Linked DNA regions of Alligator mississippiensis. The protein of the gene in region 1 purifies or fractionates together with the protein of each later gene. This does not show direct contact. Links are inferred from orthologs where the notes say so. Each region holds a gene or a part of one and is shown on either strand. Other genes may lie near its edges. The genes, in order: POLB and LIG3.

The links.
Region 2: the proteins of POLB (region 1) and LIG3 purify together in Homo sapiens (affinity purification with mass spectrometry; 3 studies listed by BioGRID and IntAct, counting the BioPlex papers as one, with this or other methods). This does not show direct contact. The link is inferred for Alligator mississippiensis from reciprocal best matches to the Homo sapiens genes POLB and LIG3.

The regions. Positions count from the first base shown.
Region 1 is NC_081830.1:17,181,805-17,189,795, reverse strand, and holds the start of POLB (DNA polymerase beta), read right to left. Parts: upstream 3,185-7,991; 5' UTR 3,120-3,184; coding exon 3,059-3,119; intron 2,982-3,058; coding exon 2,924-2,981; intron 2,841-2,923; coding exon 2,774-2,840; intron 2,509-2,773; coding exon 2,434-2,508; intron 1,711-2,433; coding exon 1,652-1,710; intron 1,344-1,651; coding exon 1,294-1,343; intron 454-1,293; coding exon 402-453; intron 66-401; coding exon 11-65; intron 1-10.
Region 2 is NC_081837.1:26,293,560-26,301,602, reverse strand, and holds the start of LIG3 (DNA ligase 3), read right to left. Parts: upstream 3,234-8,043; 5' UTR 3,174-3,233; coding exon 2,681-3,173; intron 2,311-2,680; coding exon 2,167-2,310; intron 138-2,166; coding exon 1-137. UniProt on the Homo sapiens protein: Isoform 3 functions as a heterodimer with DNA-repair protein XRCC1 in the nucleus and can correct defective DNA strand-break repair and sister chromatid exchange following treatment with ionizing radiation and alkylating agents.

The DNA.
Region 1 (7,991 bases):
GATGTTTTACCTGCATTTGTAACATTTCTTCTCTGGGGATTCTTTTCTCAAAGTCCTCAAAATACCTGCATGTACAAAGGATAAGTGTTTTGTATAGCAGGAAGCTATTAGAATGGTAGCTATGCACGATCTATTTTTAAATCTTGCCTTCCTATTGTTCAAGTTGCCCCCCCGCAACGGTATAGACAGTGGCAGACTAATGACTGCAGGATTCCCTCGGCTGGTCTCATGCTCCTTAGAAGTTGCCCTTGCTATCCTTTGCATACAACACAAATTAAAGCTGGGAAGAGGCAGGAACTGGGGATTTTTGTGGTAGATAGCCACTGCTGCTTAAAAGAAGAAACTGGCCTTGGGATGTGTATATGGAAGGCAAGCAACTATGTCCAAGAAATGATGCTTACTTTAGCCCAATTCGCTGATGATGGTTCAGCTTGTGTTCATTTTTCCTTAGATCTAGAAGAAGCCGGACACAAAGATCACTTGCAAAGGAAAGTACTTGAGGAAACAGAAAGCTGCATGGTAAGGGAGGTTCATTTAGAGATTGTTTAAAGAATAGCAGCTTTAGAGAGCGACGTAAAGGATAAGATTCTGCATTGTGTTAACAAGCCATGGCAGCCCCCTCACCCCCAGCAGCAGTACATGGAGGGAAGCACGAAGCTAGCTTCAGAGACAGTTCTCTCCTGGCTCAGAGCTCCTTCGCTCTTATGTGCCCTGAAATACCCCTCTTCCCTGCAAGGGCATGGATTGGGGACACAGCTCTACTCCTCAAAACAACACATCCTGGCAAGTACAAAGCTGCTAAATGTCAGCAGCTTAAGCCATCAGCCTTAAGTAAGGCACTTCCTAAGGCACCCTGACCCATCTTTGCATTACCACACCCTGCGCTGCACTTGCTGAAGCAAAAGGGGTGCTCAAGTCACCTGTCTGCCTGACTGGTCTCAGACTTACCTGGTTCCTGAAGCAGGTTGGTTGGTACATGCACTGCCCTGGCCTCTCAAACAAGATTTCAGGCCTGGGTGCATTGCTTGGAAAACTTCACAGAATTGTTGGGGCTGGAAGGGACCTCTTGGACCACCTAGCGTGACCCCCTGCACGAATGTATTATCTCCCCCTTGATACTACATATGCAGAGCGCATCTTCTATGTACCGACTTAAGCATCCGAATGTCTCTCTCTAGCCACGCTGTTGCTATCACTTATCACTCTGCAGAGGGCAGGTTGTTCACATCATAAATTGCAGGTCTTTCCAAAGTATCTACCACGCAATCAGGGAGATGCGTAGTACAGACTCACCTTCTAGTGTCTTAATTCCTTCATCCACAAACTTCCTGGCAGCCGCAGGACTGAAGAGAGAGAGGACAGCAAAGCACACACAGCATATGCGAGACTGATGCAGCATGCCTGAGCTTGCTGTTTGCCTCTGTGTCCGCCCAAGCCAGTATCGAAACCACCCCTCAGTCAGATTTTGGCACATAATGCCTGTCTGCAATGCTGTGCTTCCAAAAGCAGGTGGCTCTCTAGGAGTTAACATTTTACCTATGCTAGCTAAGAAACTCATGGGAAAAGGATATCCTGGATATGAACCATTTCATATGGGTAGGTCAGTTCCATAAAACATACAGAAAGAAGTACACAAGGAAAAAATCCTTACCCAATGCCACTAACTCGGGTCAGGAAATTGATAGAAGAGCTTGTGTCATCTTGTCGGATCTACAGACAGATATTTCTCATTCACTTGCAAGGCCATGGTAAGCCAAGGTACCTCAGCAAGTTACTGCACTCAAGGTTTGTTACAGTTCAGAGCAAAAAGACAACATTACCTACAAGCGTGCTGCAGTTCACTCAGATCTACATGGAAGGGACCTCAACACAGTGTTCAGAGGGGAGAGCCCTTATGTCAGAATATACTTCCTTCTTGGGCTTGACAATGAATTTATCAAAAATTGGGGGACTGTGTAAAGCCTTAGCTAGAGATGGAAAATCTGACAACAGTTTTAGTTTGGTACAGGGGAAGAAGGGCAATAGGTTGTTAATTTTTGCTGTGCCCTGTACTGGCAAAATACTTAGCCTTATAATATTTTATTATTTGGCAAACTCTCAGGCTTCATAATGTGCATTACTACATACATGGATAGATGGAATTAGGTTTTAAGTGCACTGGAAGATTTGGGACAGCCCAAGTCTGGAACAAAGCAGTTGCCTGGTTCATTTCATCTCAGGACTAGGGTGACAAAGGTATCGCAGGAAGCGTCTACGTCAGACAAATGCCTCACGCATTTGGTGGCAGTAAAAGCTGATCACACCCCATGGTGGTCCCAGGGACGCTAGGTTCTCTCTGCCTGCTCTTTTTACCCATTCCCTTCCTAGTCTCGTTCTCTCCAGGGGCGGAGGAGAGAAAATAAGCGTCAGACAGAATAAACCAAAAGGGCTGACCTTTTCCAGCTTGCGTAGCTTTCCAGTGGCTAAAAACTCATCTATCTTCTCCGCTATTTTGGCCCCGACTCCTTCCTGCAAAGCAAGGGGCAGGGGGAAGGAAAGAAGGCCTGTTTTGATTTTAGTGGTGGCGGGCGACAGAAGGGTCCGGCAGGCGTCAAAGCCTCCCAGCGGTGCCAGGCAGCGGGAGTTGCGATATGACCATCAGCCGCTGCAGCGCGCCTGGAGCGAAGAGGCACCAAAGAGCGCAGCACAGGCGAGGGGCACGCGCAGGTATGGGTCTTTGTGCAGCGCGCGAGCACGGCAGGTGGGGCGGCCGCCCCAGGGCGCAGACACCTACCAGTTTCTTGGCCTCGGCGCCACTGCGGATCTTGCTGGGGTACTTGGCGATGGCGGAGGCCGCCTTCCTGCAGGGAAGCAGATTGCTGGGGAGCGGCCCGGCCCCCGCAGCCCACCCCACCCCGGTCCAGCCCGGCCCGGCCGCACTCACCGGTACGCGTTGTACTTGTGCACGGCGCGGCTCACGTTGCGCTCGTAGTTGGCCAGCTCTGCGGGACCGAGCGGCACCGTCACGGCGCCGCCCGGCCCCGCGCCCTCCCACCCGACCCTGCCCCGCCCCGCGCACCGGTGAGGAAGTCGGTGATGCCCTCGTTGGGCCCCTCCCGCGGCGCCTTGCGCTTGCTCATGGCCCCGGCCGCAGCCCGGTCCGCGCGGAGCGCCCGGCGCGCACCTGCGCACTCCGCCGAGCCTCCTGCCTCGCTCTACGCATGCGCGGCGGCAGGCGCATGCTCAGTAGAACCCGCGCCGGGGAGCAGTGCGAATGCGCCCCATCCTTGAGGGACATGCGCAGCATGTGGGCAAACGGCGCTCCAACCGCCGTGTGCCGGGGCCGTTTGCTTGTAAAAACTGAGGTGTCTCTTTGTTTCAAAAGAAAAAGACATGAGAAAGGTGCGGTTCTAGGGGAGCTTGTCGTCCTTGCTGCAGAGCAGTTGGGGGGTGGGGGTGAAGGGGCAGTGCCGCACTTCCCCTGAGGAGCGATGCAGGGACGTGTGTGGCGAGGATGTGTGCGCACAGGTGTCTGCGGGTACGTGTGGCATCCTTTATTCGACCGCCTGAGTGCTTTTTGGGCGGGTGGGGGGACGTGCCTTGCAAGCTTTTGTGGGGGCAGCCGCAGATGCGCAGGAAGAGCGCCCCAAAACTCGCACGGAAGAGTTTCGCCAACTCCCGGGGCTGGTCTAATCTAATGAAGCGTATCGGGTTGACCCGAGAGCCGGGATGCCAAGCGCGCGTTTCGATTGGCTGCCAGGAGGCGCGTGACGATTGGCGGGGAGGGCTGCGTGGGCGTGGTCAGGGCCATGCCGCTAGTCCTCGCTGTGACTTGCCGGGGGGGGGGGGTCCAGGAGACAGTCCCGCTGCTCCGCAGTCTGATTGGCTGTTGGGATCCTCTTGTGTGGCGATTGGTCCGACTCCGATGCCCAGCAGCCCCATTCGGCTGGCAGGGTGCGGGCCAGGGACGGGAGAGCGGGTCCTTTGCTCGAATCTGCCTATCCGGTGCCTTGCTACCCACATTTGAACGGAATTTCCCTTTTTTACAAGGAAAGCCTCCCCCGCTGTTCGGGAAGCACTGCAAGACGTCACTTCAGTTCGGTTCTAGGGGAGAGCTGGGGGTCCTTGTTGTAAAATAGGAAACTGTTCAGAGTAGAGGTTGATGTGACAGTGTTATTCTTTGTATACAGGCCTCGACGAATTTGAAACTGCGCAGGTATGCATCTAATAACGGGGTGTGCGTAGAACACACTACCTGCCAGAATAAACAGTGGTCCAACTGCAGTCTCGTTCTCTCTCTAAAATAACAGCGCTTTAGGTATTCAAATATCACTACAGTTGGGTCTCAATCTATAATGTTACGTCGACTGCGTGCCGTCTCCGTTAGTAAGTATTAGGGCTGTACGAGTCGGCAGTGATCCGATCCGGCTGCTTCAGATGGCCGTGATCCAATCTGGAGTGCTGGACTGGGTTTCCGCCTCGATCCAGCCAAAGCGGCTCTGAAATTTTGGAGCTGCCTCGGAGATCCGGCCATAGGGTATAATGAGGAATCAGTGAAATATCTATAACTTTGTTGTTTCTTGTCCAATCTGGATGAAACTTGCAGGGATGGTAGCCTCTGATGAGAGCGTGAAACCTGCCAAGTTTCAAGAATATCGGTGCAGCGGTTTGAGGGGAACTGTACCCCAAATTCTTGAAAGCCAAACTCATGTCGCGACTGTATGTCACACCACAGGGGGGTGAAAACTGCAGGGCTGGTAGCTCTTACTGAGGCCACAAAGCCGGCCAAGTTTCAAGGAGATTGGTGCAGGGGTTTGGGGGGAAGTGCACCTCAAGCTGCCGACAAGCAAAACTCGTGCCACGGGTGACACTGCGTGTATTAAGGCACAGCGGGGTGACAGTTCCCCCCCAAACCCCTGCACCGTTCTTGAAACTTGGCAAGCTTTGTGGCCTCAGTAAGAGCTACCACCCCTGCAGTTTTCACCCCGCTATGTTGTAACGCCTACATGTGACATGAGTTTTGTTTTCAAGAATTTGGGGTGCTGTTACTGCCAAACCCCTACACTGATCTTGAAACTCGGCAGGCTTCATCCTCTCTGCGGAGTCTACCACCCAGGAAAATCTCATCCAAATCGGACAAAACCCAACAAAATTATATTTTATTGTTTCCCCATTATACCCTACGGCCAGATCTCCGAGGCGGCTCTGAAGCTCTTCGGTAGTTCCAAACCGCTTTGGGAAGCCTAAGGAGGCCAGCGCTTCGACCTGGATGTGCTGATTCCGACCCCGAAGCATCCGAAGTTTTCTGGATCCGAAGCTCTGTCCAAATCCTCGCACAGCCCTAGTAAGTAAGAAGCCTCACTGCGATAGATGAAATTGTTCGGAGAGGGAGTTGGGTGAGAGAACCGAGTTCACTGATGTGTTTGTGTAGGTGAGGCGCTGCCTGCCAGCTAGGCTTGCATGCAGCGTTACCCTTCAGGCTGTTACGGTACTGAACATAATAGCAGGGCATAGCCCTGCAAATGTATGTCAAATGCATTAGCTGAGGAGCCGTACTATAACCGGCAGGAGCAACGCCAAATTGCTCAAGATTCACTGCCATGTATGCTTCCAGCTTAGTGACAAATGGTAGGTGCAATCTTGAAAGCAGTGAAGAATCAAAAGCCACTTTGTGCATTTGTTGATGCACCTGGTGGTACAGGAAAAACATTCTGCTTCTACACGATTGTTTCAGCAGTGCACTGGGAAGGGAAGATTGCATCGGCTGTGGCATCCAGTGGAATTGCTGCTACCGTGCTTACGGGAGGCAGGACTGTGCACCGAAGGTTCAGGGTACCCCTGAACGTGTTGAAAACCAGCACCTGCAGCATATCAGCCCAGTCTGACTTTGCTGAGCTGATTCGAGAAGCACCTATCATCATCTGTGATGAAGCACCAATGGCTCATCGGTACATGCTGGAGACTAGATCGGATGCTGTGAGATTTACTGCAGACCAATTTACCTTTTAGTGGCAAGGTGATATAGTGTTTGGGGATGATATTCAGCAAATCCTGCCTGTTGTGAAAAATGCCTCAAGGCTACAAATAGTAGAGGCATGCTTCAAGTGATCTGAGTTGTGGAGCCACTTCCAGGTTTTCCAACTTGGTGAGAACATGCAACTATGTAAGGAAGGTTTTGATGCACGAAGTGCAAAATACGCTCAGCAAAGATAGAATGGACATTTCCAAATCTATTGGATAACTATCAAAATCCAGGATGGACATCTGAAAGAGCTATTTTGGCACCGCATTATTCCATTGTACAGGAGATCATCAGTGCTACTGGGGCAAAATTTCCAGGCCAAGAATGGATTTGTATAAGCGCAGGTGCTCTTTCAGAGGATGAACGTGTTATGGCTGTGCCAACTGAGTACCTGAATTCCATGGAGGTGTCAGGTTTGCCTCCACATCAGCTCCACCTTAAGCCTGGGATGCTCATCATGCTTCTGCGAAACCTTGCCCCTAAGGTCTGTGCAGTGGAACGTGGCTGTTGGTGCAATCCATCATCAACAGCAGACTACATGAGGCAAAAATTGTTGGATCAGAAAGAACAGTACTAATTCCTCGGGTAGCACTGAAGCTGTCTGACGACACCTTTCCATTCATGTGGACACGTCTACAGTTCCCTGTGCAGGTGGCATTCAGCATGACCATCAATAAAGCCTTAGGGCAAACATTAAAAAGAGTAGGAGTGTTCCTTCTGGATCTTGTCTTCACTCATGGACAACTATATGTGGCTGCTTCCAGAATCTCCCACCCAGAAATCATTCGATTTGAAGTGACTGCTGACTCGAGTAACAAACCAGGAATGTTGTGTGTACAGAAGTGTTGTAAATCTCTTACAGTAAGGAAGTGTCATATGTTTGAGGATTTTATGTATGCGGAAGTGTTGTGAAGCTGTTGAAGTGCAATAAAATATGATCTCAAGCAAAAATTGGCTCATTGGATTTTCATGCAAGCAACGCTGCACTGGGCATCTAGTATATATTAATATGTGCAGTTAATAGATATGCAAGTGGCACCTTATGCATACATGTAGTATTAAAAAACCCTCAGTGCTGCCCTCCAGTGCCTCACCCTGTGCATTGCAGCCAGGAGAGAAGGGCAGATAAGGGAAATAGCTCAGTGCTGCCTAGGCATGGTTCTCACCGGGCTTTGGGGCCTGGAGATCCTGGCAAAACCCGGCCAGTGCCACAATCCTGAGCTTTGCACTGGGCAGGGTAGCCAGGAAATGCTGCCAGAGAAATAAGAACCTGCCCAGTGCTGCCGTCCTGTGGCACAGACAGGACCTTGGGGCCAGGAGACGAGGGCGGAGAGAGAGAGAGAAAGTGGCTCAGAGCCATGGAGCTGGGACCGGACAGGGATCGCGCTGCTCAGGGCAGACACACGATTCACGAACATGGATCGCAGCAGGGCCTGGATCGCAGTCTCGCGTTTCCATTGGTCAATTTGAGGCGTGAGGTGATTGGGTGGACTGGCCGCATGGGCGGGGTCAGGGCCATTCCACCCATCTTTGCTCTGATTGGCCTCTGCTGGAGGAGGTGGGCCAAGGTGCTCCTTTTCCTTGTTCACATTCTGATTGGCTGCCAGGGCATGGTGGGTGTGTGCCCTCTTCTGTGTGCTGATTGGTCCGACTCTGATCCTCAGCAGCCTTGTGCAGCTGTTTGTCTGTCTGCTGCTGGGTCCAGTGTACCTGGAACCCGCCTCCTGCTGCTGGCCCAGGCACCCGGGTGGTCCTGGAGAGCTGCGGCAGCTCTTCTGGTGCCGTGACGGGTCATATGGGACACTACGTTGCCCATGGTGCCTGGCAGGTGCTCTTGAGGTTGGTGTTAGCAACACAATCTGCGTTGGATTTCTCTTGGAGGGATGAGAAAAGAAGAACCTGTTGCTGTTCAGTAAATACTGCAAGAAACCCTTTGGGTCCTGGAGGCAAGACTGGGCTCCTTGCTGTAAAACTCCAGGCAGGGGGTCAG
Region 2 (8,043 bases), on another chromosome or scaffold:
CTTGTCAGCAACCATGGCGCACAATTTTCTGAATTCCCGCAACAAGCAATCCTTGTGCTTTGGGTCACACTTCTTTGAAGACAGAGTAGACTTGTGGGAAGAATTGGCAGGGGTGTCCCCAGAACTGCCTGGTTTAGCTGCAAGAGAAAGACATACTATTTAAATTTTTAAGATGTAGGCTGGAATGATATGATTCACACTTTGAAGAGACGGGCACCATTGTCCACGCAAGTGGAAAGCAAGAACAATACTAACAAACTGGCAAAGCTTCAAATATGAATGAAATGCACAGCAATATTTGAGAATTTATGATCAAAATCTGAATCAGCATTTAAAACAAAATTTATGCTACTTTAATAAGTCTTTTCCCTTCAGAGCACAGAAGAATTTTCTGGAGCTTAAATCTACCTACTTCAATGGTTTAAATCTTGATGCGAAGAAACTGTGGCGAGTGATGATTTTATTTTACTTTCTGGACTTGCAGCAGATTTCCCCAATATCTGCAACCATGAAGGCAATCTTCAGTGGGTGGAAAAGGCTTGACAAAGGCACAGGTTTTCTTATAACTGTCCACTTAACCATTATTTGTTTTTTTTTCCAATCAACTTCCAAAGATACCTGCTCTCACCAGGAAGATGGAACCTGTCTTGTCAACCTTATGCAGGATCTGGACATCTTATGTACAGTAGGATCAAGTCATCCAAAGATGGGATGACTTGATGAGACGATTTAATTTTAGACTGCATGTGGATAAAATATATTCTATTACAATTATATAAAAACAGCTTATCTGACTGGTGGGCATCCTTTTACACAAGTACTGAAGACAGAGGGTTCAATATACAATCAGTGACTTTGTCAGGGGAGTCAGCTCTAACTGAGCTTTCGTAGGACCAGCGTCTGAGTCTCCAAAGACATTTTTACGTGCATTCCTGGATGGGTGCTTTGATTAGCAAGCTGCGCTAATTAAAAGAGCCCACGCATCCTGCGTATCAGCATTGCCACACTGAAAAAACGGCAACAGGGCACTTTGAACTAAAGCTCATCAGATGGGGCTTATTTGAAAGCACACCACTGGCATTTTGTCAGTGCGGAGATGCATGACGACACTGATACACATGACGTGTGAGGCTGCTGGAGCACATCAATTTGCATGCTCCAGCAGACTTGATTACATGCTGGATTTCCAGCACACCAGAGCAGGCTCTGTACATGTGTATAGGAGCCCCAAGATGCTACCCTGCCCTGCCTTCTGCAAATCTGTAATTCAGTGAGCTAAATCAGCTGCATCACAGTTTCTTATGAAGCTCAAGAACTAACTTGGCAAATGATCAATTTATCGGAGAGGCTTGTTTCTTGTAAAAGAATACCCCATTTGAGTTGGATTCTCGAGTAGCTGTCAGAAGCAGTTTTTCCAATGCAAAAAAAAAAAGTACATTTAGAAATAAAGGGTTATCTTAGTTTTAACAAGCAAAGAAAGGCTGTGTAACAGCCTACATTTTACAAACTTCAATATATTCAGGTATCTGGTTATACAGTACAGTCACACCAGGAGGACAATAGTTGCAGTTTTGGAAGGTGGTGGCTTTAGTTTAACAAACTGAAGTGCTAAAATATATTAGAAAAGCTCAGGTGTTTTATCTGCTTTATTTCTGCCTCTCTTTTAGCATAAAAGGGCACATCATTTCAAAACCTAGCGGCCCTTCAAAGGGGTAACGTAATCAACACAAGTCACAAAAAACAGCTTGCCAGTTCCATATTAGCTTTCCAGATACCTTCACTATTCATACCCCACAGAGAGAGGGGAAACTCCTGTCCTGCTCCTGTTAACGACAATGAGAGATTTTCCACTGAGGCTAAAAGGAGCAGGTTTCTGCTGATTTCAGATGAGACAGTCAAACATTTTTTGTAGTCCCCTTACACTTTCTGAGTAGAATATTTGGTTGGTTTTATCCCTGTTCACACAACCAGAATAATGCAAACACCTGACAGCTGAGAAAATACTTAACATTTTCCTCAAACTAAATATGAAATGTAGTTTGTACTAAACAATCTTCTAGTTTCTAGATGAAAGCTACTGGTGTGAGACTCAGCTTGAAACGCCAGAAATATGAATGCTATGTGAGAAATAAAAGCTTCTCCCAGCATCTATATACCAACTCCGACCTGTGAAACCAGAGAATTTCTTTGGAGATGGATTAGGAACAGCTCCTGGATCTTTCTTGGGGGAGGTTATCTGCCCACTGGGGGACAGCTTAGCCTGGACTGTTGCCTTCTTCTTAGGTGTGCTTGCAGACTTGGATGTGGCCTCTGTAAGAGATGAAGTGTTGAGATCCACAATCAGTGACAGCCCCACAGTATTCAATAAGACTTAACAAGTCACAATGCTTGACAATAAGCAGCTTGTTTCTGAGCTACAAAACATCCCGCCCTTTAGGAAGGCGTTTCTACAGAGAAATAAGCACAAAGTTATGGGGATTGGCCAAGGGTCGCACAGCACGACACAGCAGAGCTGGGACCAGAAACCAGCAGTGGCTCCCAGTGCCCTAACGAGGGGCAGATGACAGGTCACCTTGCGCATGCGTGCGAGTGCCCCTGCCTCTTCTCCCTTGCTGTAACTTTGTTTTCTGTCCCTGCCTCAAGATGCAGGGGGCGGGGGAAGGGGCACAGGGGCTCTCACCCGAGATAAGCTGGTTGATGAGGTCTTTCTCGGCATCTTGCAGCTCCTCCCACCCCTCGAGGTCTGTGATGTCCTCTATCTTCTTGGTGGTGGCACGAGCCCGCTCCAGCTTCTCGAATATGCACTTCACGTGGTACCACTCCTTCATGTCGCCGCCCGACTCGGTGAAGGGGTTGGGCACAACCTTCCCAATGCGGACCATGCCCTTCAGGATCTTCTCCTTGCACTTCTTGCAACCGGCCGTGCCGCGCTTGGCGTAGTCCACGCAGTACCGCTGCTCCGCCATGGCCTCGGGCGCCGAGCACAGCCAAGCGCGCGGGGCGGGCCGGCCGGCGCGCGGGGGGCTGCTCGTTGGCAGGCCCGGGCGCCAGGGACGCGGGCGGGCCCAGGGGCGGCTCGGCAGCAAGACGCGGCCCTGGGGGAGGCGAGGTCCCGCCGCGCGGCGCAGCGCCCCAGCGACCTGCACGAAAAGCCGCCGGAGAGCCGCGGGCATGTGCGGCCGGGCCCGGCTCTACGAGCGACGGGGCCTCACAGGCCGCACTCGGCCCCGCCCCGGGCTGGCGTCGTCACCGCCCCCGCGACCCGTTTAAATCCGGGACTCGAGATCGCGGGCCACCGCGCATGCGCACGCGGGCCCGAGGAGCTGGGGCAGCCGGGATTGGCGGTTCTCCATGCCCCGCCCCGCCCCGCCCCCTCCCCTGACGCGGCACGGAGGCGACAGATCCCGCCCTCGCCTCAAGCACGATCCCCTTCCTGCAAAGCGCGTCACCCCGCCGGTTGCGACTCCTGGGGCTCAAGAGCACGGGGCACCGCGCCTGCGCACGCGGGCCCGAGGAGCTGGGGCTGCCGGGATTGGCGGTTCACCACGCCCCGCCCCTCCCCTGACGCGCCCCGGAGGGCCCTCGCCTCAAGGCCCGCCCCCAGCGCGGGCGGCCCCCCCCCGCCCGTTGTGACGCCCGCGGCGAGGGCAGGCCCCGTCCGGCCACGTGGCCCGAAGCCTCCGTCTGGTGCGACTGACCCGCTCGTCTCAGCGGGTGCCCGGTGCAGTCGGCGCCAGGGGCTCGGCCTGAGGACATTGTGTTGTGGCTCCGTATTTTCTTTCCGTACATTAAAGCAGACTGAAGCATTTGCCACATTTCTGAAGTATTTATGAGGATGATACACAGGAGAAACAAGCTGCCTGTCCCCGGAATAGCCTCGAGTGTTAGACTTCGGACAGAAATTATAGTCTTGATGCAGGATTTCGTTCAGAGCAATGATGTTCGAACGAATTCAGTTTTCTTGGTACTGAGAAAATGTCCCAAATCACCCTGCGTTCAAATGAAGTGAGACCTTTAATAGCTGCCATACCGTAAACAAGTGTTTCTTCTCTGTAGCTGCTGAAGAAGATACTGAGCAGGGGCAAGACAAAACAAAAGAGATAAGAGAAATGGAGAGGATTACAGAATGATTTGGAGAAAAGTAGAATAATGCTGCTTAGGTAATGCATGGTGATGCTCAGTATTGCTCATCTATTTGCACATGCAGGGAAACTATTTGTCAATACAGTTTTAGAATGGAAAGTCTATTGCAGCCTTAATCATCAAGGCATGGGACAAGAGATGTGTATAAATTCAGTCTGAAAGAGATTCACCATTGTTCAAGGTGAACAATGGTTTCCAAGTGTCCTCCCGCTCTGATAGTAGAAATGGTTTGTGTTTGAATGGCCCCTGATCTGTTTTCATGATCAGGCCTGCATAGGTGGAATTTGCCACCAGCAGAGGGGGCCTAACTCAAGGCTGCCACTTCAGTCTCATTTAAAGTCTCGCTTAAATGCAGTATAAGTAGCTCATAGATCCTCTACCTGGCAGTGAATATTATCCAGTAAGAACTCATAGGCAAGGGTTGCTTTGACTTGGTTCATATCCATTAACATGGATTGATCAGAAACAAAAGTAAGGGTAGGTCTTGGCTAACATCCAGCAAAAGAGCTCTTATCCTAAAGGACTGAATTTGCTGCGAGAGTTGTAGTCATTACTGGGCTGTAATAACCCCACTGATGTGGTCTGCTACGGGGAGATCTGCAGGCCCAGAGCTGGAGAGTTGCCATCCTAATAAAAAAATCTCCCTAGCACATGCTTCATATTATTTGGATCTTTGTCTCTCCTTTCAAGGCTGAATGAGTCCCTTCTCTTTGTACCTTCCCTAGAGCATGTGTGACTTCATATGGGGATAAGGAAAAGCCTGTGTGTGTGAGCCATGACTTGTATGGCTCCCAAAGGCTACAGAATAAGTATTAATCCATCCTCAGCATTGATCACGTAACTACATTTCTTGAAAGCATTTATGACCTAGGGACTACAATTCCCTCTCAGGGCCAGTTCCACTTATTCCACTTATGGGGATAAGATGCTAAAAATATAATATAAACTGAGTCTAATTAGAAGCTAGTGATAGAAAAGCCTGTTGGGTCAGACTGTGAGATCCACTGGAGAACAGCTGCTCATAAGAATAATCCTGCCGAAGTCAGTAAAGGTGTTCATATCAGCAACTGTAACCTACTAGAGTAAAGGGGCAACCAGTCTAATCCTTTGTGATTCAGTGGTAAAGCTTGGGCGAATGATCCAAGCTCTAGTCTCAGGTCTGTCACTGATTTACTCGGTGACCTTTGACAAGTCACCTGTTAATTTCAAAGCAAGTTAGACATTCAGGAACATCTGAAAATCCTACTTAGTGCCTGCTTCTGAATCCCCTGATGCCTAGGATGAGAGGAGTGAGTACACATCATGACGCTCCTCTGCAAAATGGGATATTGAGTGACAGAGGCTTCTCCATGAAGAAGTGAAGAAATGGATAGAAGTTGGGCTTGGACCTTGCCCTGGGTCTGAGTATACTCAGACTCAGGGGGGCTTGGAGCAGAATCTGAAATTCATGGCTCAACTCTACAACTGGGCAAGTTTATTGGAAACAGGCAGTTGATAATGCAGATGGGGGAAGGAGAGAAGTGGGGAGGCTGCATTAGTGGATTAAAGAGACTGGCTGTCTAGGACCAGCTTACTGTCCATGAAGCTATGAAAAGCAGGGGGGGAGTGTTCCTTGTCCTGGGAATCCCATTCCCTGCCATATGCCACTCATGGAGAGTGTACACAGGATATGGCAGCCTGTTCCTACCAGCCAGCATCAGTACAGGTGTTCTGCATACATACCTGTGAATCAGTGGCCACCACAACACCATCTGGTTCCAAATTAGCAAAGGGCCTGATAAAGAGCTCAAGGCCAGTTGTCCCTCCAGCTGGGGAACGCGTAGCTTCCTAGTAGCATTCTAAGGCCAGAGAGAATTCTTAGAAAGCAAAGGTAGAGACAGACAACAAATTCCCCTTCCTGGTCCTAAACACTGTGCTCCATTGTTTCCAAGGTCTACTTCTGCACTTTAACATGGAACTCTTATTAGCCTCTTCTACTAACAATATCACAACTATAGTGGGATTCTTTCCCAGCTGACCCTTTTGCCATCTTCTCAATATTTCTTCCTTCCTTAAAAGACCACTGAAACCAGACAACCTCTGTGACTCCACCCTTCCTTAACATTTGACTCCTTTGATGGCCGAAAAACTCCTCAGTTAGAATTGTTTCAAGTCTTTTTTCAAAAGCACACTGACCAATAAATGACTCCTGAGGCAGGTATCCATCATGGGAAATTTCAGCTGAAATAACTAAAATGTTGCAAAACTATATGCAATTGAAAGCAAGGTCTTATAACTCAAAGTGTTAGGTATCTATAATAATGCTATCAGTCTGCCCTACAGTAATGTCATCTTTCCCATCACACCCCTCTGTCTTGTCAGTTCAGAATTAGACTACCCCTTCTTTGTAATGAAGTGCTTCCTCTTCTCTCATGTATTCTTTGAAGGATTCCTTTCTCATAGCTGAGCTTGCAGTTTTGCAAAGAGAAGGCAGCTAATTTATGCGTGCACATTTTTAAAGCTATTTTAAATCCACAGAGTGTAATTTAACAACAGCTATATAAATACTTGTGGGATTTGCCTGTAATAAATACTCATGATAGAAGCAGTGTGTGTGTTGAAATAACTTTATTTAAAACTAAAGTAAAAAGAGTCTCCATCCTTATCATCAAGCATTATTAACCAAGGCACCTGCTTTTTCTGGAAAACCCCAGACTGGCTGCAGGCTCTCTCTAAGACAAGGTCATTAAGGCCATTCTGAGCAGATGTTAACTGGGGCTTGGAGCACCTCAGCTGCTGCAGATTAAACCCAGTTAACTTGCCTTGCCCTGCTATAAAAAATCACAGGTACCACAGTTGCTGCTTTACTGTCCGGGGGGGGGGGAGGGGAAGAGAGGCTTATGTTCTTGTTCTTCTTAGCAGCAAAGCTCTCTGCAGACTTTCCTTCTTTAAAAAATGGAAAAAGTATAGGAGAAATTACTTTAAATGTGAGTGCTGAAGAACCAGGGACTTCTGAGTAGAGAATTCCCTTTAGAGTAGATCTAATGGGCTTATCTAAATCAGGATATCTTTTTTTCTTTCTTTCTTTCTCAGGCATCCTTAGAGGGATTATTAAAGCAGCTAAGAAGTCTGAAATGTAAATCTCCCACTCAAAAGCAGCCTTGCTTTTCAGAACTCAAGCTGGGGAGAGAGGAGACCTATATAGTTTATCTTCTGTCTCTCACTTCCTGAACCTGAATATTAAATTACATTTTAAGATAGTCACTAATGGCTTCGCTCCTAACCTTAACCTATTCACTAAATTGAATGAATCCAGAAGTGTTTCTTAAAAACTTTTTTAAAAACCTACATGCTAACTGTCCTGCCCTCTTTGTCCCAAACTGTCTCTGAGATGAGATGAATACTGCTTCCTGACAATTCTAGCTACAAACATTCTCCTGCTTAAGAATTCAGTTGGCTGATAGCCTAGAATAAATCGGCTCCAAGGGTAAAAACTTCTGGGAATTGGAGAGGAGGAACTTCATTATGGAGTGCTGTGAAGAGAGTTGCTACCATAGGTGGCCTTTTATGAATGGCTAATCCAACCCCTGGAAGCTGTAACTTGTGTGTATTGGATGCAAAGTAGGCATAGCTTGGAAATCTTACTTATCTTGAATTTTGAATAGTCTCTAGCTCATGTAAAATGCATTTATAGATGAGTAATAATTTTAGGATCCAGTATCATAGTGCTGCTGCAGCCTTTGATTCCTTCAACTCTGTGTCCAGAAGAGTCACTGGGTCAAATCAAATCTAATCTTAACAGGGAACTCTTTGGACCAGGCCTCACTCTTCCATAGAAACAAAATGTGTGTCTACCTGCCTTTTCAAAGAGGAAAAAATGTACACCAGGGCTTAGTAATGTATCCTCTAAGAACAAGGAAA